Linked DNA regions of Rhinolophus ferrumequinum. The protein of the gene in region 4 interacts with the protein of the main gene of each other region in a pairwise test. Links are inferred from orthologs where the notes say so. Each region holds a gene or a part of one and is shown on either strand. Other genes may lie near its edges.

Region 1 (8,168 bases), on a different chromosome or scaffold from region 4:
TGATTTGGTTTTGAGATGATGCAAGCACAGCGTTTATCTACTCCACCATCGTGACTGGAGATACCAGCTGTTGGTTTCCAATTGCATTCTAAATAAAAGGAACCACAGCTTCTTAGAGAAACAGCGGGTTCTAGGACTTAAGCAGGAATAATATATATACAAGCTGAGCCTGGAGTATCTCATAATGTAAGAAAGTAATGAAGTGCTCAAAGGAAAAAAAAAAAAACTAAACTAAAACCCACAATTATGGGGTTATGGCAAAGAGACATAGGAGTTAACTGAAAAAGCTCCCAATGGCCTAAGCTACAACAATTTGAGAAACAAACTAAAGTAGCTTTGGGTTATAATTAAAAGTATACAATAAATATCCATGAGTCCATACTGATATAAATTAATAGGAGAGATGAGACAAATCTTCCATGCAGAAGAATTCTAAATAATTATATACATAGTCCAACCTTAAGAAGGTGATGGAGCATAACTCCCCACTTCTTAAGTGAAGACTGTACATAATATCTCCATCTAAAGAGTGCAGCATAGAAAGGGAAAGGTGAGAAACTTTACAGTGGAGAGACCTGACAAACACTATCTCGACCAGGTGACTAAGATCAACATCAACAGTCATAAATCATGTTGATATTATGTACATTTAATACAATGTGATAAAAACGGCACTTTATTTCTGTGATCTCTCCCCTCAAACCCATATTCACAATCTAATCATGAGAAAAACACCAGACAAATTCCAATTGAGGGGCATTCTACAAAATACCAGACCAGCACCTCTCAGAAGTATCAAGACCATCAAAAACAAGAAAATACTTAGAAAGGTCATAGCCAAGACATGGTTAAGAAGACATAACTAAATGCAATGTGGTATACTGTACGGGATCTTGCAACAGGAAAAAGTAAGAAAATCTGAATAAAGAATGGACTTTGATTACTAATAATATATCAGCATTGGTTTATTAATTTTGGCAAATGGATTGTACAAATGTAAGATGTTAGTAATAAACACTACTAGATGTGGGAACTCTCTGTGTTATCTTCACATTTTCTCTATAACTCTAAAAACAATTTTAAAATAAAAAGCTTATTTAAGAAAAAGTCACAAAAATAGAACAGCAAAAAACATGCCCATCTTGACTTTGGCACTGGATAAAGGAAAGTTCTTTGTCTGGAACTGTGCATCATAAACCGAACCTAACAGTTATTATCTCGTTCATTCATATTACCTATGCTGTCTGAAAAAAATATCCTGCGAAGAATTTAATGTAAAGTGTTTTGGGATTTGTTATGTCCTGAAGCAACTCTCAAAAGCAAAGGTAAATCTTCTCTGGAAGATTCCAAACCTCGATCTTAGCCTCAAACATGTCAGAAATAAAGTTACACCAAAAATTTATCTCCTAGCCAAAAAAATCATAACACACACAAGACAACACGATATGAGTAAAAACTAATGGCAATAAATCGCAAACATTTCAGAACCTGGAATTATAAGACGCAAAATAGAAAATGACTATGATTAATATGTTTAAAAAAATAAAAGAGAAGCTTGGACATTTTGACAGAGAAATGGAAATTATAAAAAGTGACAAAGATGATTTGCAAAATGGCCACATTAATTTTTTTAATTTCAAATTTGATAAATACTTCTTGAGTACCCACTATTTGCCAGGCATGTACTAGATATTTTCACATATATCATCTATTTTTTATTTTCATAACAACAAATAACTCCATTAATAAGTACTAAAGTTGTAAAACCTTCATGTTAAAATATTTGCATTATTTTATCTTTCCCTACACTCTGGAAACTGTCTTTTGATCTGTTTTCCAGTTCACAAATTCTTTCTGCATCTGTATCAAGTCTACACTTACACATATGTTGTGTTCTTAATTTGGGTTATTAGCAATTTTTTTAGCTTTAGAATTTCTATTTAGTTCCTTTTCAAATATAGTGGGTCATTTTTTTATATTAGTGCTCCCTGCAGACTTTTTAAATCTTGTCCTTTACTTCTTTAAGCATACGAGTTCAGACAATTAAGTTTGTGAACTCATCCTAGAAAAAGTGCTACATACCTCATTGCTGAATATCACTATGGTCACCTTCCAAGTACTGCCCTTGGGAAGCTATGTACCTACACCAGCGCCTAGTCTACCCTTCAAAGCAATTTTGGGACTGTTTTTCTGGAATGGCCATCAGAGCTGTCATACCATTACCCTTGATGTCCTGAATGCCATCAAAATGTCTTGCTTTCAATATTTCCTTTATCTTTGGGTAAAGAAAGAAGTCACTGGGGGCCAGATCAGGTGAGTAGGGAGAGTGTTCCAATACAGTTATTTGCTTACTGGCTAAAAACTCCCTCACAGACAGTGCTGTGTGAGTTGGTGCATTGTCGTGTTGCAAGAGCCATGAATTATTGGCAAAAAGTTCAGATCATCTAACTTTCATGCAGCCTTTTCAGCACTTCCAAATGGTAAATTTGGTTAACTGTTTGTCCAGTTGGTACAAATTCATAATGAATAATCCCTCTAATATCAAAAAAGGTTAGCAACATTGTTGCAACAAGTTCAGAAACTTAATTGTCAGACCTTTACTATCCATACTTTTCATCATTTCTGTCTGATTCCAAAATCTGAAGCTTCTGTGGTTCTGTTTTTGGTGATCTGATGTTTCTACTGGTTTTCCTCATTCCTCGGCCATATGTGCCTTATATACTTTCTTTTGACCGTTTCTTATTATATCTTATTCTGACTGCTGTGACCTCCAATTCTCTTTAAGGACTGTGCTCTCGCCAATACCCTGGTCACATTCTTCCCCTCCTTTAAACTCAGGGATTTTTTTTGCTCTCTCCATTAATTTCACATGAAAAGATCTAATAACAGGTACGTTTCAGAGTAAATTTTTCTTTGCAGTTACTTCTTACTGGGGGTTGGAGTGGGGGTTGGGGTGGATATAGGCAGGCCTTTGCATTTTAAGCCTTAAGTCACATCCTGAAATGAAAGCCTTCATTCCTATTAAATTAAACGGGGGCGGGGTTCTATTCTATACTTAAATTTTCTTAAAATACATCACAGTTTGTGTTCTTTCACATGCTTATGTTTTGCAAGTCCTGCCCACACCCATTCTTTCTTTTGAAAATGTGGCTTTAAATACATCTGCAGTTACCTATGCAACATTCTGACTGCTCAAGAAATCTACTCAACCTTAAATTGGAGATAGTTTGAAGAGCACTGGACTTTGAGTAGGATGGTCTAGGTTCTTAGCTACTCTTAGTCTAGATGTATCATCTAGGACAAATTCTTTATTCTCCCTAAAGCTTAGGTTCCTAATTTGCTGAAAGGAGCTATAATAACACCTGTTATACTTGTGTCACATGGTACTTCTGAGCAACTAAGGAAATAATGAACGTGAATGAACCAATGGTAAAGAGCTACGCAGTGTGAGTGATATTGGGCATCCTGAAACTTCAGGAAATTTTCATTCCTAGTTCCATTTTCTCTTCCTCATGTCAGAATAAATACATTGACCCATTCAGTTTAGACAAGAATAAAGAATAAGACTAAGGTTTTCAGAATAATGAAAAGTTTCAAGTTACGATAAAATTATTACTCTCTTCATTCAATCATGATATGAGAGCTATGAAACACTTATTAGAACTAATAACCTGAGTTGCTGTTACACAATTCATCTATGAAACTCAATTTGTCACAAAACAGCAAATGGTTTTTTTGAACCTGAATGGAAGGATTGGAGTCAGTTTTAAATTGATAGCCATATTAAAGTAGCAAATTAATCTTAATGTTATGAAAGTAGAAAGCAAATAAAAGATTTTAAGAATTAGAAATCAATCGACTGTATGTATTGGGAAGGAATTCTGTTACCAAAATAGGTGCAAGAATATTTTCCAAGCACAAAATTCAAGTACTTAAATATATCACTCAAGGTATCAGTAGAAAAAAATGTATACGCACAAATACATGTATATATCCTTTCCTATCATTGCTTTCAAATGAGGACTGTGTGACAGAACTTTTGTCATCAATTATTCTTGGAATTTGGTGAAAAAAGAAAAGAATTTGGAATCAGTCACTCTGTGTTCTGTCCCACTTAGGAACTATTTCCTTCTCCCTAAAAGGGAGGCAAGTCTGCCCCGCCTAACTCACGGAGCTTTTCTAAGGCTCCAATCAATGCACTGTAGGGAAAAGACAGGTACAGCTCTGCTGTTATCGTGACCAGACTAGCTGTCCACTGAGCGATGCTGTTAAAAGAAATCCAGCTACTCCCGACTGGAAGACATCTCGGTGAATTGAAAAGGGAGCTCTCTCTTTACCCCAAGTCTATTTCTTTTTCATATCATTTCAAATGTGGGTGAGAGGGCGAAGGGCCAAGGGGATTGATTTAAAGAACTTGGATGTAGATTCCACCCCCACTCCCCGCTTCTTACACTTTGTTCCTTCATTATTTCCTTCCTTCATTCATTCAACAAATATTTCTTGGACCCCCGTTGGATGCTGGACACCGGGCTAGGTAGGGAGAGCCACAGAAAGGAAAGGACCCGGAATGTGGTCTCAGGGTACCCTTCGTCTAGGGAACAACCAGGCGTAAAACTGAGGGACCGAGAGGTCGCGCTCGAGTGGGTGGTTTCCGTGGCCGTGGAGCCCCCGCAAGGCCTCGCCTGCCGACGCCTCCCGCGGGTTAGCCTATCCCCCACCGCCAGGCCCCCGGGCTGCGAGTTTGGACCGCGTCCCCATGGCAACCAGTGGCAAAGCGGCGGCCTGGCTGCTGGCCCGGAAAGTGAAGCCCTAACGGCTTCGGTGGCCACGCGGCGAGCGGGCCCGGACGGCGGGAACGTGGCGGGGACGGCGGGGCCCCTCGGGGCGGGCGGGGAGGGCGGTGACCCGGGAGTTTCTGCTCCTGGGACCTCAGACCTCTCGGGAGAGCGCGGCGCAGTGTGATGCAGGTAACCCATCCGGGCGTCCCCGGCTTCACCCCCAGATCTTCGTCCTGGCCCCCGGGCGGGGCTCGCTCGGGAGGAGCTGGGGACCACAGCAGGTCGGCCGCTCCACGGAGGCTGGCCTTGAACCCTGCGTGGGTCTGGACAAGGAGGTCGGGGTCGGGGTCGCGGTCGGGCGACAGGTGGGGAGAGCCTGGGATACCAGGATGGTCCTTGCAGAATTCAGAGCAGAGATTCTACCTAAATTACAAGGTCTAGGTTCTAGTTGTGTGGCCTTGGGCAAGTCACCTAGCTAGTCCGTGCCTCAGTTTCTCTGACGTTAAAGTGAGGGAATTCAGAACCTGCAAAACGAATGTATGCTTCTGTCCGTCGTTCCCCATCCCTGCTCCGCGCCCATCGTCTACATACACAATTCCAGGGTCTCTCTGAAATCCTTTGATTTGAGAGTGATGTGAACCTCTCCTTTTTACCATTTTGAATGCTATTTCATTGACTTTTATTCAGTAAATCAGAGGAATTGAAGTCCTATTCAATTCTTTGTCCGTTTATCCTCATAGATGATTTTTCAGTTAAAATTTTGTTATTGGGAAAAGCTTTTTCTTTTTCTTTTCTTTTTTTTTTTTTTTAATTTAGGCAAGCACTAACACCCCTATTTTGTCAAACAGGTAAACAGGTGCCCACAGAACCATTGAGGAATTGTGAATTTTCTATTTTTAGAGAATTCTTAGGGGTTTTTTTGTCTTAAATATTCATGATATTCATTCTAACAAAACCCAGAAAGGGCCAAAGAAAGAATTTACTCAAAGGCAAACTTTTAGAGGATCCACAAGAAAGGAAAGTTTGCAAGCGTTTCGATGGAACAACTCTTGAATAGAAATTCTGTTTTACTCACCTCATGTACTGAGCACTTTTGCAAAGTACCTGGCACCAAGCCATTGCTCAATATACAGTGAATGAATGCTCATTTGAGTCAGTGCCACATATTTCAACTCATCATTAAGCCAATTCATAGCATGGGGACACGGACACACACACATACACATACACACACAGACATGTGCAAGTTTCTACATTTTATAGAACCAAGAGTTACTCCATTCAGAAAAACATAGAAAATGGTTTGCCAGTAGCAAAATTTTCTTTTTTTATAGGTTAATAAATGTAAGCATTTTAGGAATCTAGACCATTTTTCTCCCTAACAGATTAAAAATCAAGAAATTTAAACCAGATGCAGCAGTTTCTTGACATGGAGAACCAAGCCCATAATACAGTGGGGTAAGTGCTGAGAAATTTCTATTTAATAAGTTGTAACTTAACTATGCCAGAAATTCCCTGACGGTACAGGAATTTTGAAATTCAGTATTAATAGAAGAATATGCCAGTTATTTTTGGTGAGGAGGGTGGGGTAAATTCAAGAGACTTTAATTAAGAATCTATAGTTTGGGTCTTTCAAATTTTGACTATGGAGCTGCACACAAAAATCACCATTTTCCAACTCTTAGTGAGTTTTTTAAAATGTTTTTAGGGTGATGGGTGCCCACACTGGCCCCATGTGCCCTTAGGTTTCCACAGTGAAGCAGCTACTGGCCTGCTTGCTCCTATCTTGTTGCACCAGGTGTCTGAGCATCCGCCCACATTTGCCCTGAAAACTGAACTCAATGCTTAAACATAGCCTCAAAACAGATCTAGCTCCTCAAAACAGCAACAAGAACTGGATATTTTACCAAAACTTTCATGAAGACATAAGGAATAGAATTTGTATAGCATTTGCCATTGTTCAGAATTAAATTCCTTCTCACAAATAATCTGTCCCCACCCCTTCCCTGCCAGCAACACCACAAAGGTTTCTGTTCCTATTGTTTTATTAGCCAACTGGCCCCTGGTTGACGCCAGAGCTGGGCAGGGGAGGTGGGGCAGTGGGTAGGCATGGCACTATAGTGCCTAATCCTGACCGACTGACTTTGCACTAGTCAAACCACTGCAGATGTCTCACTTTCAGTTTTTCTGCTCAGATCATGACTTTAACATCAGGCTAAAAGAAAGCTGCCCAAGTCTCAATAATAATAGCTCTCACTGTTTTAAGTCCTCCTGCACACTCCTCCTGCCCTGTTAGGTATTGTTATTTCACAACTAAGAAAATTGAGCACATTAGTTATAGTCTAAGTTCTTGTAACAAAGAGACCCCAAAATACAGTGGTTTAAATAAGACTGAAGTTCATTTCTGTTTCCTGTACAAGCCCAGAGAGAAGCAGACCAGGACTTGTAGGGTAGCTCTGCCATCCTCACTGCATGATTTCCACCTCTGGGCCCGAAGTGATTGCTTCAGCTCCCACCATCATGACTGTGCTCCTGCCAGAGGGAAAGGGGAAGGGCAAGCGGAGAGCTTAAGACCATTCCTTTTAGGAGTAGGACTTTGAAGTCATACTCCTAAATGAGGCAGGCCTCATTTCTGTTCACTCCCTATTGGCCAGAACTTAGTCCCAGAGCTACAGCTAGTTGCATGGAAGGTGGGGAAATGTGGTTTCTAACTGGACAGCCACATGGCCAACTAAAGCTTAGCAGTTGTATAATAAAAGGAAGAATAACGGATATTGGTGGACAGCTAGCAGCCTCTGCCACATTGAGCTCAGAAATGTAGAAAAAAGAGAAATAAAGCAGGATCTTGCCCCAGCGTATACAATTGGTTAGTGGAGGAGGTAAGATTTGAATTCAGATATGTGTGGTGCCAATCCCTGCATTCTTTGCTACATTGGAAATGGATGACAGTGCGATTCAGGGAGCAGTGTACCTAGTATCCACAGGAGAGCCAGGGTAGGATTCTGGATTGAGCAGGTGTGAGGTCCGTGGTGTGACAATAGCACAGAGGGCTAAGATGCAGATTGAAGGTCTCCAACCTAAGGATGGGTAGCAGATATCACTTCACTCCTGCAAATCTGAGGCCTTGGAGACTGATATTTCTCTTCATTCATTCTTTGGGGGGGGGGAAAGTATGGAATACTGAATGTACGCCAGGCATAACACTAAGCCCTATGGTTCATACAAAGATCATTAAGAAACAGACCTTAAAGAATTTAGAATTTAGTAGGCAACCATAGAGTTTGTTTGGGTGCAACATAGTTACAAACCAGAAGTGAATGAGAATTACTGGAGATTTACATGAGGAACTACTCCACTCCTCACAGCGGACATGGGACCAGACGTCGTCTA
Region 2 (8,163 bases), about 23 Mb from region 4:
TTCTCTACATGTATTCTACTATATACATATGTATGTATGTATATATATATACATACACACACACATATGTATATACACATATATATACACATATATATATATACACACACACACACACACATATATATATATATATATATGAACTGTGAAGCAATAAAATGGAGTCCCTATAGTCAAGCTGCTAAATTACTAAAATCAAGTAGGCTGAGGTATGAGAAATGATTCTACTCTGATTTAACTAGCCTGGAAACTTAAACTTTTGAACTTTCCAGTCCTGCGACAATGCCTGAACATGTATCAGACCTCCAGATAACATTCAGAACAGCCCATGGAGGACTCACGTATCCAGACCACTTGACATCCGTTATCCAGAACACTAGATGTGACCAGACCTCCAGGCACCCGTCCTCCAGAACACCTGGCATCCATCATCCAGGCTGAGAACCATCCTGGACCAACCCTAGGGCTAGGAGTGCAGGACTGATTAAAGAATGCACTTTGTACTATAAGAACTCTTAACTTTACCTTCTCCTCCGGAACACTTTCTGGGTTTTTCCCTAGTTATGTTTCTTGCTTGCAAAACCTAAGACCCTTGAATAAATTTTTATCATTTATTTCTAGACAAAGTCTTCAAACTCTTTTTGAGTATTATTAAATACTCTGTTATCTTATAGCAGGATGAGGTGGCAGGAACATGGTAAAAATATTAGCAAATCCTATTTCATGAAGGTTAGCACTACAATTCACTAGCACTAAAAGCTTTGCTCTTTTAAGATTAATTTTCTAAAATGTTTTCATGATAAAGTACCTTCTTCCATCCATTATCTTGTGTTTTGTAAACAACAGGTAAATATGTTAATACCTTTGAAAATTCTGTCATTACATTTTTCTTCCATTCATTCATCAAATATTTATTAAGTTCATACTTGATGCCAACCACTGTACTCAGAGCTGGAAATGATGAGCAAGAGCAAAACTCAGCACAGTCACTGCTCTTGTGTACTTATGCTTCAGTAGCAGGCATGCTTTAATCAAATTAGCACACAGACAATTGCAGAAACAAATTTATAACTTATTAGCAAGTAAAGATATATGATATAATGATAGTAAATTTATAATAGGGGCATTTATTCAGCTCAGGTAACTTTGAGAACGTGATATTTGAGCTAAGATCTACAGGAAGAGGAGTCAAAGACAGGCTAGAAAAGTCTGAACAAAGAAAACAGTACCAGAGGGGCTGCAGCCACAGTCTCCAGTTCTATTTTTCTCTTAAATAAAATGCCCATCTGGCTTTTACCCTTTATTCCACCAAAACTGCTCTCAAGATCTTCAGTGATATCTACATTGCTAAACGTAGTGGTCAATCATCAATCCTCATTTCACTTGACCTAGGGCAGCATTTAACGTAATTTAGCACTCTTCCTCCTTAATCACTTTCATTTGGCTTTAGGACAAGTGGGTCTTCCTGTCCATTCACCGGCCTCTCCTGCATATTCATCTTTGTATATAACTCCAAATCAACCCAAACTCAGTGGAGTGCCTGTTTTGTGATTCCACCTGTTCTCAGGCTTTAACGTAAGCCGTCAAAATACTACAAGCAGATGGATCTATGAAAGCTGAAAGTGAAGCTGGATGGAGCTATGCATTTAAGAATCATAGGTGGTGGTGAAAGCATGGGTATGGATGAGAACAGTTTCAACTATGCAGTAAAAAGGGGACCTAGACGTAAGAAACCCTACCCTTTGGGGGTTGGACAAAGGAGGATGAGCCCAAAAAGAAGACACACACACACAAAAAGAATGACTTTTTTTGCTTGTTTTGTGAAATCATACTCATAAGAAGTTCTTATTTTTTAAAATTCTGAATTAAACTAGTAGCATCAGAATGTAGCCAGGCTTTCCAAATGAGACCAATTCTTTGAAACTATAAATCTGTTCAAGGATAGGTCACTTCCAGAAACTACGTATCTGGAATCTACAGTACCTGTCTCTTTGCAGCTTCAAAGTACATCAATACAAAAAAAGTTATCCCTCTCAAAATATATGATTTGACTTATTGTAGTTTCCTGAAAGTACCATTGACTTTTTGTAGTTTCCTGAAAGTACCATATCTCTCTCACTTCTGGGCCTTACCATATGCTGTTCTTTTGGCCCTCTCTTTCACTGGGATGGTTTTCATGACTTTCCAAGGCTGGGCTAAATGAGCCTCTCTCTAGCCATTCCAAGGATATCACACAGTACTGTAACCGTATGTTTAACCATTCGTTTCTCTAACTTCATACATAGGAGCTGTATCTTTTTCACTGTTGTATACTCTGGACCTAACAAGGCTACATATTTTGAAACACGTTTATTCGGCAATGTGAACAATTAAAATTTAATTTGGTTATCAGCTCACGACTTTTCCTAAGAGGAATGATATTTTTTAAAAACCAGCAATTTGTAAACACATGGTTGAATTTTTAAAATTTTGAATATTTTTACAGGTCTTTTTTCATATAGTATCCTTAAAGCCTGCAAAAATTCATACCAAGGAATACCAGATATTCTTGATAGTCTTTTCCCTTTAGTCTCATATAAAATGGATTTCACAACTCACTTTCAAAGCAAAGCCCTGCTTGGATGTCATGTTGGCTGAGCAAATAAAGCCCAGAAAACCCTTAAGCAACGGCAAAAGAAAGGTGCAATTGCACAGGGATTCATGAATCCATCGCGCACGAGTCCACCTGAAAGGGCGGAAGCAGAGGCAGCAGCGCGGAGCACTCCTTCCTACAGCATCCCTCTTTGTCTGGCCGTCTGCGGCTCCCTCGGACTCTTAGATTCGCCACCTTTCCCACTTTCTCGCCTCCACGCGCCCCTCGGGCTTGGGCACCCGAACTAGTCCTTCCCACACAGATTACTAGAAAAAGTCCCTGGACTAAGGAGGACAACCCTCGACGGCTTTGTCTCCAAAATCTCAGAGGAATGTAGGAAGGAAAAACCCTGTCAAGGGAAAAGTGGCATCCAAGCCTACAGTTCTCACCAAGCTGACGCTCTCAGTCTCCCAGCGCGCTAACGGTCGACTCGCCCGCCGCCAAAGGCAACGTCGCAGTGGTTTGTGGGGGCTGTAGTTTCTATCGCAAACGGAACGCGCCAGCAGCATCAAAACTACATTTCCCAGCACTCAATAGGAGGACGCCCTACCTCCTTGAATAAAGGATTTGGAGTAATAAAGAGATAGTCACTAATTTTAGGCCAATCTTAAGATTAGATTCAGTTTCTTCCAGGAGCGCGTCCGTCTTTGCCGTGCTTGCCTTGTCTGTGAAAGTTTCAAGGTACTTCAACTCCTTACTTTTCTTTCCCTTCGCCAGTCCAGAGAATCCAAACGTCAAGGCCTTAAGGCGCATGCGCCTTGCTCGCCATCGCGCATGCGTGGCATCCGGCCGCCGTTAGCGGTCGCGCACGGACTTGGGGTCTGGAGGTAGCTGGAGGAGGGCGGGGCTTTTTCCAATGGCTTTGCCTCTGCGGGTCGCGTCTGCCTGGGCGGGGAACAGGGCGCTAGGGCAGGGGCGGCTCTTGGTTTGTGCCGGGCGGAGAAAGGGGAGGGGCTGGGGGGTGAGGACCCCATCTCCCCTCCCTGCTCCCGCCCTCTGGGCCGAGCCCCACAGATGGGGCTGGGCGAAGAGGCGGGTTCTGCGCCTGGGCCCTGCGGCTCCACCAGCTCTGCGGCCCAACCCGCGCTAGGGGATTGCGGGGCAGCCCGGTGCCAGTCTGGTTCAGTGGGCGGCGGGCGAGGACGCAGCGATCGGGAGAGAAACGGCGCCTGCCAGGGGGTCCGGAGCCAACCAGACCTCGGCACTGTCCTCTGACTACGCCGCCGAGACAGCGGCTGCTGGAGGCTGCTGCCTCCCCGGCGCGCTTGGGTCTCCGGCCGCGGCGGCCAGTGAGCCGCGGTTCCGCGAGCCTTCCCAGCCTGCGTCCAGCCCGCCGCTGAGGCGCAGGGAGCAACTGCGGAGGGCGGGGACTGGTGCCCGAGGAGGGGCGGGGTGGGAACGCTCCGGAGAACGCGGTGGCTGCACAAATAAACCCGAATGGCTGGAGGGCGTTCAACGTTACCAGCCTTTTGGGGCAGAGCACGGATTTGACAGCTCCACAACGTGAGGATATCCGCTGACCCCGCGAGACGGAGAACACTTCCCTGTCCAGCAAAGCCAGCACTGTAAGGTTTCAACTTTCCAACTTTTTTTTAGTCTCCGACCAGAAGACTGTCGCTGCGTGTAGGAGAGGGTGAGGTCTATCTTGCAGATCGTTTGAAAGCCATCAATATTAAAAGACACTTCTGGTTCCAAATGTCACCCAGACGTGTGTTTTCATGACGATTCGATGTCCCTGATTTTCTTACATTTCTTGTTTAAAAACACCTTAAATGTCTTTGGGGACATGCTGAAAGGTAACTGAAGACTGCAAAGAAAAAAATCTCCGTTTGTCATGGCTGAAGGAGAGAATGAAATGAGATGGGATGGACTGTGCAGTAGAGATTCAACTGCTAGAGAGACAGCACTGGAAAACATTAGGCAAATCATTTTGAGAAAAACTGAGTATCTTCGTTCGGTGAAAGAGACACCTTATTGTCCATCAGACGGGCTTTCAAATGCTGTTTCTTTGGATGGGTTGAATAAGCTGCTTGCTCATCTGCTTATGCTTTCTAAGAGGTGTCCCTTTAAAGATGTAAGAGAGAAAAGTGAGTTTATTTTGAAGAGCGTCCAGGTAAGGAAGAGCATTATAATTACAACTGTCTGTCTAATACAGTAAAATTTTACTTGCACTTAAATTCACTTTATTTCTAATAGGTTGTTACATGAACTCTTATTATGAGTTCAGGCTACATCTTAATTTTAGAGTGTTCTGTAAAACATTGAATTTGGGGCCAAAGTTGTGCAACATGAACTAAAATAAAAGCAATTTTCAAATATAAGTAAACAAGTATTGTCTTTCTAGAAAGTTGTAACAGAAACTGCATTGCTCCTGGAAAAAATGTGTGAGTTATAGTTAGTTGCAAGTAAAGACTGACTTTTCCCTATATTCATTTTTACATGTTGTTGGGAAGTGTAGCCAGTATGCTTTTTACATTGTTACAACCAGTGTTCTGTGTGGAAAGTTTCACATTTAAAAGCCTCCAAAATGATAAAGGATATTAAGTGTTCCCTTGTCAGCTTGTTCAAGATAATTGGTGAAACAATTTTCCCTTGTTCTTAAAAACAAAACAAAAAAATCCAGGGTCTGTTGTCTTAACTGCAACCATTCTTTAAAAAAAAAAAAAATGAAGAAGAATTACATAAAGTAACAAAAGCTTATGTTATAAAAGAGCTGAAATCTTCAGATTTAAAAGTTGGACCCAAGTAGACTATATGACAGAAACACTTTTATGGTAAATTACTCAACCAGCTTTCTCTGTGTTTGCTTAATTTTTTTTTCTCTACACACCTATTTAAATTGTGAGTACAACAGGTTAAACATTATAGTTTTCCTCTTGTTTTGTACATAATTTATCCTGTTTTATTAGATTTATTAAAATGGTTCTCTTTTAAGGGGTTGTTTTTAGATATTAACAATGCTCAGTAACACTGTGCTTCTCAGTCTAAATTACTCAATCTACATGTGTTCAAAGTCATAGTGTGAGTTTTTCAAATTTATGATTTTCTTGTGTATACATATGGAAGTTAAGATGGACAGTTTTTCTATTCTGGCTAAAATTTAGTTTAAAGCAATAGAAAAATAACCATGTCCATAAAATGGAGACTTTTTAAGATCTTGGGACATTTTTTCTTACAGACACTTTGGAAATAATCATTACAATTCATTTATCCAGGGTTACCAGAGAGGGATTAATTTTCTAGATACCTGAAGTTTACCGTCTCAAGCATCAACATTATTTATCATATAGACTGTAGTGACTACAATTACCTTTTTTCATAATGGGGTCATCATTATGCACATCAAGTACTGTTGCATAGCTAAGGGTGGAATGTAGAAGACTATATGATCCATGTTTTTTTAATTTTGTGTTCAGTTTTTATGGTTTTCCTGTTCCTTTTTTTGCTGTTAGTATACTTCACTTTGGTCTCTTTTTGAACCTTTACATTTGCTGCTTATTTCTGTTAGAATGGGAAACCAGATAACCAATTTTGTTAAGAGTTATAATGAAAACAAGTAATTAGGCTCTGGGGAGTACAGGGTCAAAGGACTGTGATACAACCGTAAGTAAATGGGTACTGGGTCAACCTATACTCCTTTATTAATATACTGCATAACCTTGGACAAGTTCCTTGACTTGTTTTAGTTTGGATTTCCACATCTGTAAAATGGGAATTAATAACAGAGCTGTTGTGAGAATTAAATGCGATGTAAAGTGCCCCAGTATATAGTGGATGCTTCTCTCCCCTTTCATAAGTGAAATACATGGACTATGTGATAGATATTTCAAGACTCATTCATTCTGCAAAACGATCCAAGAATCTCCTCTACTGTAAAGGTTTGCCGTAGATTTATACCTTTTTTCATCTCTGCATCTATTGCACTTTATTCCTGCCACAATTTTAACAGGCACTTTACTTATATTGTGCTATAATCATGCCTATGTGTCTCTTCCCCCGGGAGGGCTGTAAGTTCTCAAAAGTATTGGCTGGGACCTGGGAGCTACTAAATAAATATCAAGTGGATGAACAAATTTATATTTGGCTTCTTTTTGTTTCTTATCAGTCTGAATAGATGAAGTTACTAAATTAGGGAGTTTCCATCCCCACATTATTCAGTCATGCCTTCATTCAACAAATGTTTATCGAACCCCAGGTGAATGCCATTCTAAGAACTGGGAACCAGTGCCGAACAATTTTGACATTCTACTGAAGGGAGACAGATCAGAAGGAAGTAAACAAATAATGTAATTTTAGATAGGTAGGGAAGACTTCCCTGAAGAGATGACATTTAAACAGAGATTTGATGAGTGAATAAATACTATCCTGGCAAAAATGAGATTTTTGAGGAAGACATTCCAGGCACAGGGAACAACATGTGTGGAGGCCTCCTGGCCAAAAAGAGCGGATGAGTTCTCAGGACTGAAAGTAATGCAGTGTGGTTGGAGCACAGGATGAGGGGAGTGTGAAAGCTTAAGCACGAGCTCTGGAGTCAGACCTGGCTCCAATACTTTATTAGCTCTACAACCTTAGAAAAATTACATAATCTCTCCTTGACTCGGTTTTCTCATCTGCAAAATGAGGACAATGCTAATAGTTCCTGCCTCACAATGAGAATAAAATGAAACAATGCTTGCAAAACATAGCACAGTCCCTAGCACATAAGAAACGCTCAGTTTAGAATTCTGTTTTTAGGCAGCCACATAACAGAGGATCTTGTAAGCCACGTTAAGAGTTGTGGACTTCATCCTAGGAACAATGGGAAGCCTGTGAGGGGTTTTGAGCAAGATGGTGACATGGTCCGTGGTGTATCAGAAAGCTCCCTTTGGAAACAAAGAGAATGGATTTCAGGGGTCAAGAGTGGATGTGCAACATCAGCTGGGCAGTTGTCCACTTATCCAAAGCAAAAATGATGGCGGAGTAGGACATAGTGGAAAAAAGTGAATGGGTTTGGGAGAGAGCTAGGAGTTGGAAACCATAGGATATAGTCTTTAATTGGATCTAGGAGATGAAGGAAATTATCGTCATTTCCTGAAACAGAAGAGTGGTAGAGGGTCAGTTTAGGGGGAATGATGAGTTCTATTTAAGACATGTTGAGATTCCTGTTGCCTATGTTACCTCATGTTAGTAATAGCTCCTGAGGGATTTCTGCCCCTACTACCACTGTTCTAGTTCTGCCATTGTTCTCCCTCCTCCAGCCTTAACCTATGTTCCACCTTTATTTATATCCATTCCCCACGTAACTGCAGAGCCATTTATCTACAGTGAAAATCTGCCGAAATCTGCCTAAAATCCTTTAAAACAGAGTGGAATCTAAAGAATTCCAGCATCAATCTGGCTTCTCCCTACTGCTCTGTCCTCACTGCCCACCACTCCCATCCTTACTGCTCTCACTCTGGCATGAGACTCACAAGGGAAACCAAATAATTTAGATCGTAGCGCTCCATAATGCTTTTTGCTGTTCATTAGTAAAGCAGCAAAGGCTGAGTGAA
Region 3 (7,452 bases), on a different chromosome or scaffold from region 4:
AAACTCTTCCCTTTGTTCCCCCAGCCCTAGAGGGGTTAGCCGCTTCCTGAATTTGCTATTTCTGTGATATATTAGTGTTCCTTGCTATTTTTTCAGTTAACAACTTATCCTAATTAACAATTTGTACTAAAATTTTCTCTGTTAAAATAACAGGTATGGTTTCTGTCTCCTGAATAAACCTTGACGGATTTGGAAATTGGTACAGAGTCCCAGTAAACATCCTCAAAGATGGAATTTTGAGATTGGTTTAGCTGTGTCCTTGGACTTGACTGTAGTGCTGAGCGCCTTGCTAATAGAAAGTGGAACGTTGTGCATGACATGGCAATACCATTAGTCAATATTACTCCAACTTACTTAATCATGGAAATTTTTGTTGAAAGAAGCATCTTATAGGACTAGTATTCAGCACAACAAACTTTGGAAATGCTGGCTTAACCATAGTTCTCTATTGAATGTATCCTCCCTAAACACATCAATCACATTGCCGCTCATGTTTTATTTAAGCTGAGAATCTGTACTCATCATCTGAGCCTCAAGCCATATTTTACATCAAATGTTTAGAGCTTTTTCCTAATACTGAACACAAATACCTCCTCAAAGGAACTAATTAGTTCTATTACTTTATACATGTCTCTAATATGTCACATTATATCATAGTTGTTTGTTTACATACATGTCTAGCCCACTAGAATTGGAGCTCTTAGAGATAGAGACCTTGTCTGCTTCATCTTTGTACCTCCAATGCTGATCAGTGTCTGGCATATAGTAAGTATAATTAATTTGCATGCATATCATTCATGAGAATGGTTATGGAGGCTGGCTATATTCATTCATGAAGAAAAATTTGCGCACTTTGAATTTGTTATTCCAGAAGAATATAAATAGACATGCTTCATTATTTGAAATGAATTTGTTTATAGCATTCTTACTATGTGTTACAACTACCCCCTCAAGAGTAGAAACTTCTTTCTTTCTTTCTTTCTTTCTTTTTCTTTCTTTCTTCCTTCCTTTCTTTCTTTCTTTTTTTTTTTTCCATTTTACAAATCTGTTCATCTTAGATAGGCAAATAAGTTCAGCTCAACAAGCACATACTGAGCAATTACTCTGCCAGGAACTCTGAGAAGCCTTAAGTACACAAATATGATACACATAAATGCTCACAGTTCAATGGGGAGACAGATTCCCAGTCAAATAATTTCAGTATCAGTGTGATAAGTACAATAATGGAAGTATATATGAGTTGTAGGAGTCATTTAGTAAAGAAGATATGATCATGATGAGAAGGAATATGAGGCAAGACTTCCCAGGGATTTTTGAGCTGGAGTTTGAAGGAGGAACAGGAGTTCCCAAGCAGACAAAAGGCAGGGGCATAAATAACAACATAGAGGCAAAAAATAGTAAAGCTTTGAAGAAATAAAAACAATTCCAGGAGCATTAAGCACCAGATGGTTTGTGGAAAAAAATAAGGCTGGGAATTTAGGTAAAGGCCAGTCATGAGAAGAGCCTTAGTTGCCATAGTAAGGAACTTGGACTTATCCAATGGGCAATAGGGAGCCAGAAAAGGCAAATTTTCTGCATTAGGAAAAATTTGTATTACCATACATTAAACAAACATCTTTTGAGCACATATAATATCTCAGACATCTTTCTGGGCACTGGATTATTTAATAGAGTTGTGCCTTTAAACCTCTTCATAAAGGACATTTTTATTGATAAGGTACATAGCCTAGATTTCAATGACCGTTTCTATCCTCCCAATTGATTCTTAGCATAAACTTGCAAGACAGTATTTTTAATTCTGTTGCTAATGCCAAGACCAACACTTTGAATCATTTCTGCCAAGCAGCAGATTTTTGAGCAGCCCATTTTATAAACTGTAATTAGCCTTCTATAAAGGGCAAATTATTTCTTTTATTCTCTTTCTAAACTCCATAGCTTTCATCATATATTATTGTACATTATTATCTACATATTTCTATGTAAAGTTAGTCCAAGGAAATCCACATCTTTCCATCTTACAAACTCTTGTTTAAAATAAACAGAAGAAATTTAAAAATGTTTTCCAAAATGAAGGGAATGGGCATCAGGAAGGAGTAAGGAAGGTCCTTGGAAAGAAGAAATATGCACAAAAGAATTAAAATCCAAGTATTACCTATACTAAGTATTATTAATACTAAGATATAAGTGGATCTGGATAGCATAGCAAAACAATTATTTTGTGCATCTGTTAGCAAGATATGTCCTAAGGTATCAGAAAACCTAAGAGAGCTAGTAAGGGTGTTTTGCTTAGTATAAAACTGGATGTAATTAAGCATGTGTAGTATGATTTGGTTGGTTATTTTTTTGCCTCAAAAAAAATTCCAAATAAATTAATGGTAATTGCGTCTTCGCTTTTTTTTTTTTCATACTACTTCGGCTTATGAAAGGTGTCGCATTCTACTTTTGGATATCGGGGTAAACCTGTGTAGAAATCAAATGGCCATCAATTAATTCTATATTAATTAGAGGAAGTAAAACTTGAAATTTCAAACTCAGTGATGGCAAAGAAAGGAATGAGCAGTACCTTATTTATTAAAGATAGTATTCTTGTAATTTACAAAACATGTTCTCAAATGGATTTCAAACCAGTGTGCTGAATATTGGGGGGGGGGAACCACACAAAACTTTACACCTAGATGAAAACAAATGATCTGAAACTGATTGCTAATTTGTTATAAAACAAAAACTTCTTGTTAACCCATGTCAATTATTCTCCCCTAACTAAAGAGAAGCAAAGGCAAAGAAAATATACTAACTGTGCAAGGAATCATGACTTTAGGTTCGATTTGGGGATGGGTGGCTTGAATGATATAAGGTTGCTCAATTTGGGATTAGATAGTATTGTGAAATCTTTTTCTGGATGTCTCTAGACATAGGCTGGATTATAAACTGTCTATCTCCCTACAAACAAGGGAACAGACAAGATTTCTCAAGATCCTGTCAAGCCCAGGGATCTTTAGAAATGAAAGCCTAATTAAGAGGCTCCCTAGAGACAGGTCAAGGGAGTTCTTTTATCCCTACTGCCCTTATCCCAGTTCCTCTATGCCTTATTCCTCCCCTTTCATTCACCATACTCTAAAACTGAAGACTACACATTGTGCAAGTTTCCACCTTTGCTTCCTCTACTGTAAATTCATTAGACTATTAGAATTAAGAAATGTAAATGCCTCGTCCCTTATCTCTAAACTGTTCATGTTTAACTGTTTTTGAATACAGCTGAACACTAGAATTTCTTTTAAAACTTGTTTTTTTTTTTTTCAATTGGACAACTAAAGTAAAAAAATATGTTAGACTCTGATTATGGGATACAAAGTCCTTCAAATATCTTTTAATAAAGCTACCCAATAAAAAATACTTTGTCAAATTTCAATTCGGATTTGTCTTCCTTCTAATATCAAAGATTGTATTGCATGCAATTATTTGGGTTGAAATCCTGTTGGAATTATCTTGCCAGTGTTTCACTTCTTTGAAAGTTTTAGGGTGAACATCTCTACCGTAACAGCCAGAGAATAGCAACTGATGCACGTTTTAAAACTTTACATAATCATTGCGCAGATTTAAACTATCATTCCCTTGATAGTGAATGAGGCATAATAGAGCATTGTTTTTACATCCTCCTCTCACTCGCATGAAAAAGTAGTGACGTTAATTTGTGTAAGTTTTAAAAAATCTTGTAGTGATGAAAACGTTCTCTCAAAATACGCCAATTCTGTGTGAAAGTTTTTCAATGTTTAGAAATACGTGTGGGGCACCACTGCATCCCTGACCAGCGATCTTTCCCCCGACCACTCCACAGTGCCATGTTAAAATTTCAATTTATAATTTGGGACTAAAATTCTTCCATTTAACTGTAAGTTTCCTCTTACCAACACTCATAAGCAACATGTAAGAGTCAAGAAAGACTTCACGATGCACTCAACGGACCACGATTCCAATCACCATCCCCAAAGAGTGTGTCCATCCTTGCCTTGGCAGGTGGGCAATTAATTACCCGCTCCCAGTCCGCGGCATAAAGCTATAGCTGCATCTGATTGGTGCATGTACTTGTCAGTCACATAGAAAGGGTGGGACCTCAAAGTTCCGCTCTAAACTCGACGCAGTATTTTTACATCATCGCGGAGCGACCAAAGCAGAAGAGGGAGGGGGTGGGGTTTTGAGCTCAGCTCGGTGGCGGTGGTGGGGGCGGCCTGCGAAGGTGTCATGGCTGCTGCCACTGAGCTTAGTCGCCCGAGCATCGGTGATAGGAGCCTGGAACAGAGCTGCAGCCCCAACCTCTCCCAAGAGGTGCTTTGTGAAATCTTTCGCTCCCTGCATACCCTGGCTGGACAAGTGAGTGATGGCCTGTGGGAGTGGGGGTATGGGAACCATCCGGCCCTTCCCCCCTTCTTTTCTCTAGCGGAGGCGGGGGCAGTGGAGGCCTAGCTGAGACCCCGGCCCCAGTAGCTGAGGCCCGAGTAGCTGAGGCCGGGGGAGGAGCCCGCGCTCAGCCGCCTGCGTTCGGAGTGAGGATGGCCGCACGGATTTAGTTCAGGACCGGTTGCAGACTAGATTTCCTTGCAAATCTTCTCCCCAGGAGTAAGTGAGGATAGTGTAAGTCAAAATCTGGCTCCTAGAGGAGGAGGCTTGGAGAGAATGAATGCGGAAAAGCTTCTTTGAGGGTTTGGGAGACGCCTGGCGCCTAGGATCCCGTTTCCTCCAGTTCAGTCATTATCGAAATTCATAGGTTAGTACGGCCTGAGATTTCTGGAAAAGCTCTCTCCGCCTCTTTTGGGTAATTTGCTCTTATGAGTCACTTGATTTTGTTTATTTCTTTTTTCCTTTTGGCCGTTGTGTGCATCTTCTACCCTTCAAACGGGGAGGAAAATAAAATTAATCTAAAATACTTCTAGCAAAAAGTTTGATGAGTTATTCATGGTGGATACTGTTGACCTCAGAACTCTTGTTTAACTATTAACTAGTTTAACTGGCTGATAAGTCGCTTTTGCAGAAATGTGATAAAATTGAGTTTAAGTACTGCGTACACTATTCCAATCAAGTTACTGTTTCCTTTCATGATGTAAAATGCAAAAGAAATTTTAAATGAGAAACAACTTGAAAATAAATTTGCTTTTAAAAAGGAAATATTTTCTCCTATCTCAAACGAAATATTTTCTAGCTATAAATAGTTTGTTATGGGGCTGGTACTAGTGCATATAGAAGGTACAGCAGGCATTTGTGTCTAAGATAATGTTTACTTCCTTTATGAAAATAGAGTGTTTGTCTGATTTGTGAAAATTATTTTTAAAAGCCTTGGGTGGATGGGGAATCAATTTTTTAAAAATCCTGTTATTTTTATCATGACTTAACAAAGAGCATTACTCAAACTTTAGTGTAATGAGATGATTACCAATAGAATCAGCTAAAAGTTGTAACTCAGTTGTTTGCCATGGACCTAAAAAAAAATTATTTTTAAAGACTTGAGGACATTAATATTTCAGTCTTAAGACCCGAAACTATAAATGGTTTAAAAGTTAGAGAATGTTTTGTGGCATGGACATTGGAACTTACAGTCTAATGTCGAGATGAAAAAGTTTATGCTCACCTCTAATTTACAGGGGTTTTTGTTTTTTTTTAGTGATGAGATTTTTTTTTTAAATAATGTTAAGAAATAATTTAAACATTGCTTTTGAAATATTTTGCATACTAAATTTTTAAAAGTCATTTAAATTTTTTAAACATTCGAATTTTCTATATGTAGAAGTAAGGATGTGATTAAAATTTACTTATGTCAACTGTCAAAAGTGTTCAGAGTAAATATTTGGCAAGTTTACTTGACACAGTGAAGGGACCATCTATAAGGTATAAAAAAGAGTGTCTCATCAATTAAATGCTAACCATTTTGATAATATTCTTTATATCTTGATATGTATTGTTTAAAGATAAGAATGGAAACCAGAGGATGTCAGTTTCCTTTTGCAACAAGTTTTTAAAAATGTATGTTCTAATAGACCTAAGTTTATTCTGTATAGTAAGTATCATTGTAACAGACATAAAATTGAATGTTAAAAAGTATTTTCTATCCCGATTTCAAATGTACTGATGCTAACCTTTTTGCTTGCCTCTGGATGGATGGCCCATTTTACCAAGCTAAAGAATTATTTATTTTTAGCTTGGATTTTCATATTAATTTAATAAAGTTTTTACTGAAAGTGCATATTTAAATGGTACATGTTATTGGCAGACAAATACATTTTTGAGTGAGTGATTTACAATTACAAGTTCTATAGGGTAGAAATGCATAGAATTCGTATTACTAGTAGGGAATTTGTTGAATGAATAGTTGGATGTATTGGGATAGTTTTAAAGTTAATTTGTGACATTATTGTATGGTTTTCTTAAAAGACCAAGTATCTTTACTCGCACTTGAAAGCTTACATGATTCTCCTGAGTTGAATTGAGATTATGATCCAAACACAGATTTATTTTCCGTAAAGTACTGTTTTCTCCAGAAAATTTGATGCTTTGCTTTGCTTTGCTTTTGGATTTGCCTGTTTTATTCCCAAACCATATTCATAAATTTGTGTAATCCACTATAGATCTCTTTGAGGATTGTAAAAGTACAATAATAGTTTACTTCCATACATAACATAAATTGTCTTTCAAAGGCTTTATAGTCATTAAATAACATAAATTAAGATTAATGTGGCAATCTTAATGTAAAACCATAGTTACTATAAACTAATCTTTGCCAGTGCAGCCTACACAAAACTCCGTTTTTCTTTCACTCGTCTAATATGGACTTTAAATGTTTCTGGTCTCATGTTCAAAGAGTGGTAAATTTCTGTCATATAGTATTTATTCAGTTTAGTGCCATTTTTTTGGTAACTTGGGATCTTTTTGGTTCTTTGTACAGTTATTCATCTTTTTCTTTTAATATAATCACAACTCATAAGATCTGTATTTGAACTAATGTAACACTTTGTACAAAACATGACTAATTTTTAATAAATGATTTCTAAAAAAATAATATGTTTGTTAACTTGATCATACTATGCAGTATTTATCCTTATAGTATGTCATAAACACATGTCCCTAGAAAAGTTTATGGTGGTTCACTTTTATTCACTCGAAAGACTAGAGATAGAGGGATTCCTTCTAAAATTTTCATTGATTTTGACATTTTATATTCAGGTTCTTGATAGTTTATATGATTTTATTAAAATAGGTCACATATAGCTAACTTCTGAGAAATTTTCATATAATGAGCCCTCACACTTTACTAGAAAATACTATTTAGCAAAAGATCTGGCTATTTCATTCAGTCTCTGGCCTTTTATTTCACTATTGTGGAAAAATACTTGTTTGTTTTCCAATTTCAGATTTCCACAGCTAAATAATAGTTTAATAAACATGTTGCCACTTACCCCTAGACTT
Region 4 (8,393 bases):
GTTAAAAAAAAAAATTAATTCCCATTTCACAGGCCTCACTTAAATGCATCATTATTGGAATTAGTTAACATAGACTACATGTCCATCATCTAGACCACATTGACTGTTAGTCTCATAACAACCATGGGAAACAGGGAGTCCCCATTTTACAGAGAAGGAAATTGAAGCTGAAGAAATTTAACATATAGCCTAAGTAAAAGACAGACCTGGAATTCATATGGAAGCTGCCTGATTTTCAGGCATATAATCTTAATTATTATATCATTTCTTCATTTCTGTTTCCCTTAAGCCCGTAATAGAAAAGTATAGAATTCATAGACTCTTATATTTGAAAGAGATCTTAAACGCGTCATTTAATCTAATTTTCTCCCCCCTCTGACTCCCCATGTAGAAATTTCTTCTTCAGTCTCCCTAAAAGAAAGAACAACCAGGCTCTATTGGATATTTCTGAAACTGGAGCTTCTTACTTCGGGGGGATAGTTCATTTCATTACTGGACCACTATAATGGTTAAACAGATCTTCTTGACTTCAAGATAGCATTTTAAAGATCTTTCAGACCTGTTTCTCTTCTAAAATTCACTAGCAAACAAGAAGAACAGAAACAAAAATAGAAACTCTAACATCAGTGAAACCAGAAGAATTGAATCCATAAACCCCAAACCACAACGAATGAGGATTAGAACGCAAGACATAATGGTAAATGATGCAACAGAAAAAAACGTGCTTGAGGGCAGCAATTGAGAAGCTAACCAATTTGCCTAGTAGCTTCTGAAAACACTAAAGAGCTTGAGGTTAATACTTGGTAAGTAGAGATAATATCAAAAGTAGTAGTAAGGCAGGGGACTCCAGCAGGATCATTTGATGGCTGGTTTTTTTTTTTCATTTTTTTATTAGAAGAATGAACAGTCAGACCCTAAAATCCCTAATTCCGCTCACAAAGTCAAGTAACCTGTGTCCATTTTTTCAGGCTACCTGAATTACCTGAAGACTGTTCTCTGGAGAAGCTTAACTAGAAAGGCTCTAGACTCAGGATATGAAGTCCAGAGCAGGACAAGGGTGATAAACAATGATAAAGGGAGAAGGAGGTTAAAGACATGAGTCTCCAGATTAAGAACCCATTAAACATCCAACACAATAAATGAAAAAAGAACCACATCTAATTTTATCATTGTGAAACTTTAGAGTTCAGGGAAGATTCTAAACCGTTCCAGAGAGAAAAGAAGAAATAGGTCATACAAAGAATCAGGAATAAGAATGATTTTGTACTTTTAAGAAAAAAAATTGAAAACTGAAAGACAAGGGAATAATGCCTTAACATTTTTGATAGAAATGTTAATATGTTAATATAAATTTTTTTTTTACATTTTGTAAAAATTTATATTCAGCCAAACTATCAATCAAGTAAATATAAGGACAGCAAAAAGGCATTTGAGACATACAAAGTCTCCTATAAACACTCTCTCAGGAAATCAAAGGATAGTGTGTTTCATAAAAAGAAGAAGTAAACCAAGAAAGAGGAAGAATAGGAATCAGGAAACAGGAGAGAGGTAAGGGGAATTCCCAGAATGGCAGCAGAGTAAGTGCTAGGACAACAGCTGTGCAGCAGGCTGAGAAAGTCACCAAACCAGACCGGAGCAGGAAGTCAAGGCTCTGAGGGTGTTTATATGTGGGGGTGATATATTCAAAAATATACTAGAATGTGTAAATTGTCTAACAGATTTGATCTTGGGAAAAATTACATAGAGAGGCACTTTACAAAGCTCTTATTACTAAGCAAATGAAAAGATAATCATTGACTCCAGGAAAACCAGAAAGTTTCAAAAGAATAGAACTATAGTCGTAGTGTTCTACCTGATTTAACAGTGAATTTTATTTCAATAATGAAAACATAGAATATGAATTTAAAAATGAGATGTAATTTCATTGAGAAATGAGGAGAGAAAAAGAGGTGTCCGTAATTTAAATCTTCAACTGTCATTTTGGGAAGACAATAGGTAATGCCAAAATCGACCAGTTGACAGATAGCAAGATGGGTGTTATATTTACAGATGAAAAAGTAAATCACAGAAGAAATACCTGAAGTAGTTTAATATTATTACCTCTGGGGAACATGACAAGTTTGGAGGAAGAGGTAGTGGGCAGGACAGAGATTATTGTTTCTTGTGATAAGCTTTTTAGCATCATTTGACTTTCAAATTATTTTCTGGTAATATTTGCATAAAAATTAAAATGTTATTTTCAAAAAAGAAATTTATTCCTTTCAGTAACTCAAAGGTTGATTTTATAATAAGAACTGAGCTCTATTAATCTGTGTTATTTACTTACTCCAGCTTTTTGGGCCTCTCGCAGGTCGTGATGGATTCTTGGGAGCCACAAGTTTGTGTGTTTGTATTCATTCCATTTGTAATTAATAACGTATAAGCCTATTGGGGATCATCTGGGTAGCTGTCATTTTGGTGTCATTAAGAGGTCTGACAATTAAGTTCGCAAACTCATCCTAGAAAAAGTACTACATACCCCATTGCTGAATATCACTATGGTACCTTTGAAGTACTCCCCTTGGGAAGCTATGCACCTAGACCAGCGCCTAGTCCACCCTTCAAAGCAATTTTGGAACTCTTTTTCTGGAATTGCCAGCAGAGCTGTCATCGTATTACCTTTGATGTCCTGAATGTCATGAAGATGTCTTTCTTTCCATATTTCCTTTATCTTCAGGTAAAGAAGTCATTGGGTGCCAGATCAGGTGAGTAGGGAGACTGTTCCAATACAGTGATTTGTTTACTGGCTAAAAACTCCTTCAGAAACAGTGCCATGTGAGCTGGTGCATTGTCGTGGTACAATAGGCATGAATTGTTGACGAAAAGTTCAGGTCGTCTAACTTTTTCATGCAGTCTTTTCAGCACTTCCAAATAGTAAACTTGGTTAACTATCCAGTTGGTACAAGTTCATAATGAATAATCCCTCTGTTATCAAAAAAGTTTAGCAACAGAGTTGCAACAAGTTCACGAACTTAATTGTCCGACCATGTAGGTATATCTGTCATTTTGGTACCTTCACTATCATGTGTATACCTAATCAAGTTAGCTCCAAGTAGCACATTTTAATAATTGCAGGAAAATGAAAAAGAGCAATAAATGATGCATTTGTATCAAAGGAAGTTGAACTGAAATTATGGCAGGTCACATGACTGAAACTTATGTAATAATTTGAATGGATCAAGTGTTGAAGAAATTGAGTCATTTCACAAAGCACATTGTAGACGAGTACCATGAACTCAAAAGAACCAGCAACAGGCAATACCATATTCATGTTGTAAATTGCAGTTTGGGTTCAACAAAATATTATCTGTCACATAAAAGCAATGTTGTTAATTTGAATTATATTTGTTGCTTTTGTAGGTTTTTTTTAAATAAGATTTTTTAAAGTTTGTATTATATAACAATAAACATCAGAAGTCTATACCTATTTTTATTAGTATATATCAATACAAATAGTAATATTCTTTAGTTCAACCATGGAGAGCTTTTTATCTTTAAAATAAAATTTAAGATTAAGTTATCCTGTTAAGAGTCTGTACATTACTTAAATTTGAGAATCACTAATTTATTGTTTACATTTACCGAGAGAGCTGACTGATTCAGTTCGCTACAATCCAGTATGGAATACCACCCACCTGTGGCCGACACCAAGCACTCATTACCTTAGATAGAAGTACTTTTTCTCTCACCCATTTTACATCACCAACTTTATTATCAAATGAGACAGGACACAGCTTTGTCTTCGTCACTGGAATTCCTTTATCTTGACCTCTCCATGTTGGGTGTACTCATCTATATATAACTTATGCCTCCCCTGAACACAGAGAAAGTGGTAGGGAAAAGTTGGGGGGTAGAATATTTTAGTTTTCCCTCCCTATGCTAACAATTTACCATAAATTTAGTGGCTTAAAAACAATGTAAATTTATTACAGTGCTGGAAGTCAGAAATCAAAAATGAGTTCAGAGCTAAGCCCAGGTATCAACAGAATTATATTGCTTCTGGGGGGTCTAGAGAATAATTTGTTTCCTGCTTTTCCCAGCTTCTAAACACTTCTCTCACCCCGTGGTTTGTGGCCTCGCATTACTCTGACCTCTGCTGAGTCATCAAATCTCATTTTATCACTCTGACTGCCCCTCCCCCCACCCTCTTTCATTTATAAGGACCTTTGAGATTACATTGGGCCCATCCAGATAATTCTGGATCATCTCCCCATCTCAAAAATCCCTAACTTAATCACATCTGCAAAGTCCCCATTCACTGGATAAAGTAAGTAATACATGCACAGGTTCCTGGGGTTGGGATTTGGACTTCTTGGGGTGGCATTATGCTGCCTATCACAGGGGGTGTCACAATGCCCAGCCATTCTCCAGAGCAGAAACTCTGATGGAGGAAACTACTTTGGAAAAGTGTGGGAACACATTCTCCAGAAACAGACAGAAAAGGGGAACGAATGTAGGTGAAGAGAAGCATTTTATGGTGAATGAGGAGGAGGTTCTTTTTCTGAGGGATTAAGGAGCACGTTGAGGGTTTGGAAAGGATAGTGAAGACCTCGAAATGCGGCTGCAGAAGGTAGGAAAGCCACCAACTAAGAAAGAAAAGGTGAAGTGCCCAGGGGCTTATCTGAAATGCGGAGGTGGTTACCCAAGTCAGACCAGGAATCTGAGGTCACGCCAACTACCATGTGCCTGAAGATGATACTAGCCCACTGCCAAGACAGCCGTCTAAATTTCTAATTCAAAATTTATAAATAAACCAAACAATGACATCAGAATTAAAGTAGTTCTCCCACCTCCTTTTTGTTAGGCCATTGTTTTCCTTTTTCCATGATTCCTATAAGAAACCTGACACTAATTAGGTTAGCGTAAGAAGGGGAAAAAAGGACATGAATCATAGGCCACACTGGAAATTAACCAAGAAATAAGAAAAACCAATTCTCTGCCCAAAAGAACAACAATGGTGAAAAACTGTGCTAGCAAAAGGTCTACATACTGAGAGTTTCATTTTTTTTTTTTTTAAAGGAATCAAGATGGAGTCTGATCAGATCTACCAGCTGCTTCCCTTTTCTAAGACATTGACCCAGGAGACAGCTACTGAAGCTTGGGTGTTATTTCTCTCTGCTGTGTCATATGATGTTCCTTTCCCCTCCCCCACCTGCTCTCTTGCTGTGTGTGCGTGTGTGAGTGTGTGTGTGTGTGTGTGTATGTGTGTGTGTGTATTTGGTTTCTCTGTCCCCTTGTAAGAACACAGCCGCCTGCCTGTCTACTGCTGTTGCTGCTGTTCTGACTAACTTTTTGCTGCCCCTTGCCTCTCCTTTCTCTTTCTGCTTAGCTCCTTGCCTTCTGGTAAGTATGACAAACACTCCCCCAAGCCCTGTGAGAAGATGTGGGGTGCGGTTTGTGGTGTTCGAAATTTGCAACTTTAAGATTGCCAGCGAACTGTTGAAGAACTTTCCATTGTTTTATTTATAATTAAAATGTGTTGCTCAGGAAGGGATGTGTGTGTGATAATCTACTGGGACTGCCAGTACAAGTGATAAACTTTCTTTCAGAGGAGGGAAAAGGCAGCAATAAAATTTATGGAAGATAAAATTTAGAAATAATTTTTGCTGTATAATTAATCTAGAAAGAGATAATTTAAAAGTAACAGAGTTCTTTGACTTTGGGTTTTTTTTTCCTCTTGCTGATTTATCTTGAGGCTACTTTTAGGAATTGAGTTTTCCTGTGGTTCACAATGACTCAGTTATTCTGTTTTAAAGTAAACATGGAATATGAGTTTAAAGGCTGTCCGTGGGATTAATATAAAAACATCAATGATTATGGCCTCTGAGGAATGAAGAATAAAGCTATTACAAATAAAATGCTTGCATTTAAACTAACCATGCCAAAACTCCTATGGACAGTCAGTTTTTAAATTCATTGCTTTGAAGTTTGGTTTACTTTAGATTTTATTTCATCCTAAAAAGACTTTTTAACACTTTAAAACCCACATATGAATTTATGCCAGCAAATGTTTACTGTTTTCGATTTGTATTAAAAAGTACTCCATTCCCTTGATTTTCAAGGATAAAGTGCTAAATGCCATGGCTCCTTTTAGAAGAGCTTAAAATAGCTTCTGGCTGGAAGCAGGTGCCATGTGTCTTTCTCCAAGTTCAGGGGAGGCACTAGTTATATATATAGATGACTGTGCCCAAGAAGTAGGTAAGGGTCAGGATAAAGAAATTCCAGTGATGAAGACATGAAGCTGTTTACTGTATCATTTGATAATAAAGTTGGTGGATTACAATGAGTGAGGGGAAAAAAAAATACTCCCTTCTAAATTAATGTGTACTTGGTGAGGACCACAAGTGGGTGGCAGTGTTTGTACGTTGAATTTTCCATTCTTGTTGGCGGCCAAGCATTTGATATCTACTGCCCTGAGAACAGAAGGAGGAAGCTGTGCAGTGCACAGAGCAGCATGTTTGTGTTTTCGCTTTCCATACCTCCACAGCAGCAAAACCTGTGCATTATGAGGATCCTGTCATATTTTTGTCCTGCTAATCAGCACCATCACCACTAAATATCATTTACAAAGGAAATGAACCATAACGTAAAGGCCTAAGCCAAATCTCTTGCAACCCCAGGAATGAGGATAGCCAGAAATCCTGGAATCCTTGACTCAGCTCATTGCTCACTCCATATTTCCAAAGAACCCATATCACACCTGGATAATTTCCTTACTTCATTTCCTCCCTTTGCCTTAAACATGGCCATTTCTTTAAAATTATCAACTTATCCTAGAACTTCTTGACTGAGAAGAAAATGTTGTAATCTGTTTTTTTTTTTCCTAAAAGAATGCCAGTTTTTATACTGGAAAAAAGAAAATGTATTACAGAAATTCAAAGAATTATTATTATAAGCATCACCATGTTTCCATGCCAGTTTGTTTGTTAATTTATAACTTCCCTCATTCTCTGCCTTATTCCAAAAATGATGCTAGTGTACCTAAAAAAAAAAAGTGTTTTCATCATTAATAATTACATGTTGCTCATCTGGGAAAAGGAAAATACCAGAAAAAGCAAGAAAGCATTTCCTGTATCCAGCATAATAATTCATTTATATCAATGTACTCATATTAATCAAATCTTCATTTATAGATTAAAATAGAGTTTAGGGACATTATTATGAAGGATTTTAGTAAGTTAGTAGCTCTTGTATTAAATATTTTAACTTTGTAAAAATAACACCATTTAAAATTTAAATATTTTAAGTGTATACATCCATGTACTTTCAGTGATTATAAATCTACATAGGATTATAGAAGAAAATGGTAACACAAATTGGCTATTCTAAGCAAAATGACAGATAGGGCCATAAAAAACAATATCTTGAATTACTCTGCTAATGTCAACAATAGGAGATACTACTGGAATTTAAAGACCAAAAACAAACTATGCTAAATAGTATGACTTGATTTGGAAAAATGGCGTCCCACTGTTCCTACCTACCTAATTGCAAGATCAATCGTTTGTAAAAGTACATTCATTCTATGTAAGAAACTGTAATTAGTAGGCGCCCATTTGGAGGTATCCTTACCATTTATACGTAACTAGGTTAACTGCATAAAACCTGACTGTGCTTACCACTAGGTACTGCTCCCAGGATGGAGACTAATCACTCTGCACAGCTCTCAGGAGAACCACAGTCAACACCTCTGGGGGACAGTTCATCATTACCCAGTCAAAATGGCCTGGAGAAGCCACATGATCAGAATTCCTCAACCTCTCTCCAAGCACCCCTGAAAGGGGCAGATGTGCAGCCTGAAACAGGAGCTCATGACATCTCTGAAGAGTTGAATCGACAACTGGAAGACATCATTAACACGTATGGGTCTGCTGCTGGCACAGCAGGGAAAGAGAGTCCCAGTAAGGCCAAGGAGCACCCTGAGAACACAGAACCAGCCGACAACGAGGATGGGGATTGTGAGGAGGTCACTGAAGAAACTGAGAGAGAACCGGTAGCTTCCGAAGAGCGACCCACAGCCAAAGAGACTGTCAGCAATAAAGAGCAAAAATTGGAAAAGAAAATCCTAAAAGGATTAGGCAAGTAATTATGTTTTAATATCTGACTTTTCTTTGAATTAATCCTAAAAAGGGCATTTTCTCCAACCTTTAGTAAAACCCACATCTCATCTTTGGATGACTACCAGCTTCCTTCAGGGCTCCCTACACCTTCTCTTGCCGACCGTGTTCCCAGCCCTTTCCCCTCAATAGGGCTAAAGTGAACTTTCAACATGTTACCCACCAACCTCTGTCCTCAATGGCTTCCCCTTGCTCTTAGGGCAAAGACCAGAATTCTATAACAGTCTTTCCGGCTAT

What was found.
Region 1: the proteins of TXLNB (region 4) and DEUP1 interact in binary tests that used the Homo sapiens proteins (3 or more experiments, as listed by UniProt). The two-hybrid records come from large-scale screens. The link is inferred for Rhinolophus ferrumequinum from reciprocal best matches to the Homo sapiens genes TXLNB and DEUP1.
Region 2: the proteins of TXLNB (region 4) and CEP57L1 interact in binary tests that used the Homo sapiens proteins (3 or more experiments, as listed by UniProt). The two-hybrid records come from large-scale screens. The link is inferred for Rhinolophus ferrumequinum from reciprocal best matches to the Homo sapiens genes TXLNB and CEP57L1.
Region 3: the proteins of TXLNB (region 4) and MBIP interact in binary tests that used the Homo sapiens proteins (3 or more experiments, as listed by UniProt). The two-hybrid records come from large-scale screens. The link is inferred for Rhinolophus ferrumequinum from reciprocal best matches to the Homo sapiens genes TXLNB and MBIP.

Annotation. Positions count from the first base shown.
Region 1 is NC_046294.1:64,567,182-64,575,349, forward strand, and holds the start of DEUP1 (deuterosome assembly protein 1), read left to right. Parts: upstream 1-4,924; 5' UTR 4,925-4,967; intron 4,968-6,163; 5' UTR 6,164-6,189; coding exon 6,190-6,236; intron 6,237-8,168. UniProt on the Homo sapiens protein: Key structural component of the deuterosome, a structure that promotes de novo centriole amplification in multiciliated cells.
Region 2 is NC_046286.1:61,798,224-61,806,386, reverse strand, and holds the start of CEP57L1 (centrosomal protein CEP57L1), read right to left. Parts: upstream 3,369-8,163; 5' UTR 3,142-3,368; coding exon 3,022-3,141; intron 467-3,021; exon of another isoform or gene 426-466; coding exon of another isoform or gene 342-425; intron 1-341. Other genes in the region: SESN1 (sestrin-1), read left to right, coding at 4,467-4,745. UniProt on the Homo sapiens protein: Centrosomal protein which may be required for microtubule attachment to centrosomes.
Region 3 is NC_046289.1:84,244,648-84,252,099, reverse strand, and holds the start of MBIP (MAP3K12-binding inhibitory protein 1), read left to right. Parts: upstream 1-4,170; 5' UTR 4,171-4,239; coding exon 4,240-4,368; intron 4,369-7,452. UniProt on the Homo sapiens protein: Inhibits the MAP3K12 activity to induce the activation of the JNK/SAPK pathway. Component of the ATAC complex, a complex with histone acetyltransferase activity on histones H3 and H4.
Region 4 is NC_046286.1:84,909,637-84,918,029, reverse strand, and holds the start of TXLNB (beta-taxilin), read left to right. Parts: upstream 1-5,252; 5' UTR 5,253-5,382; intron 5,383-7,664; 5' UTR 7,665-7,678; coding exon 7,679-8,117; intron 8,118-8,393. UniProt on the Homo sapiens protein: Promotes motor nerve regeneration. May be involved in intracellular vesicle traffic.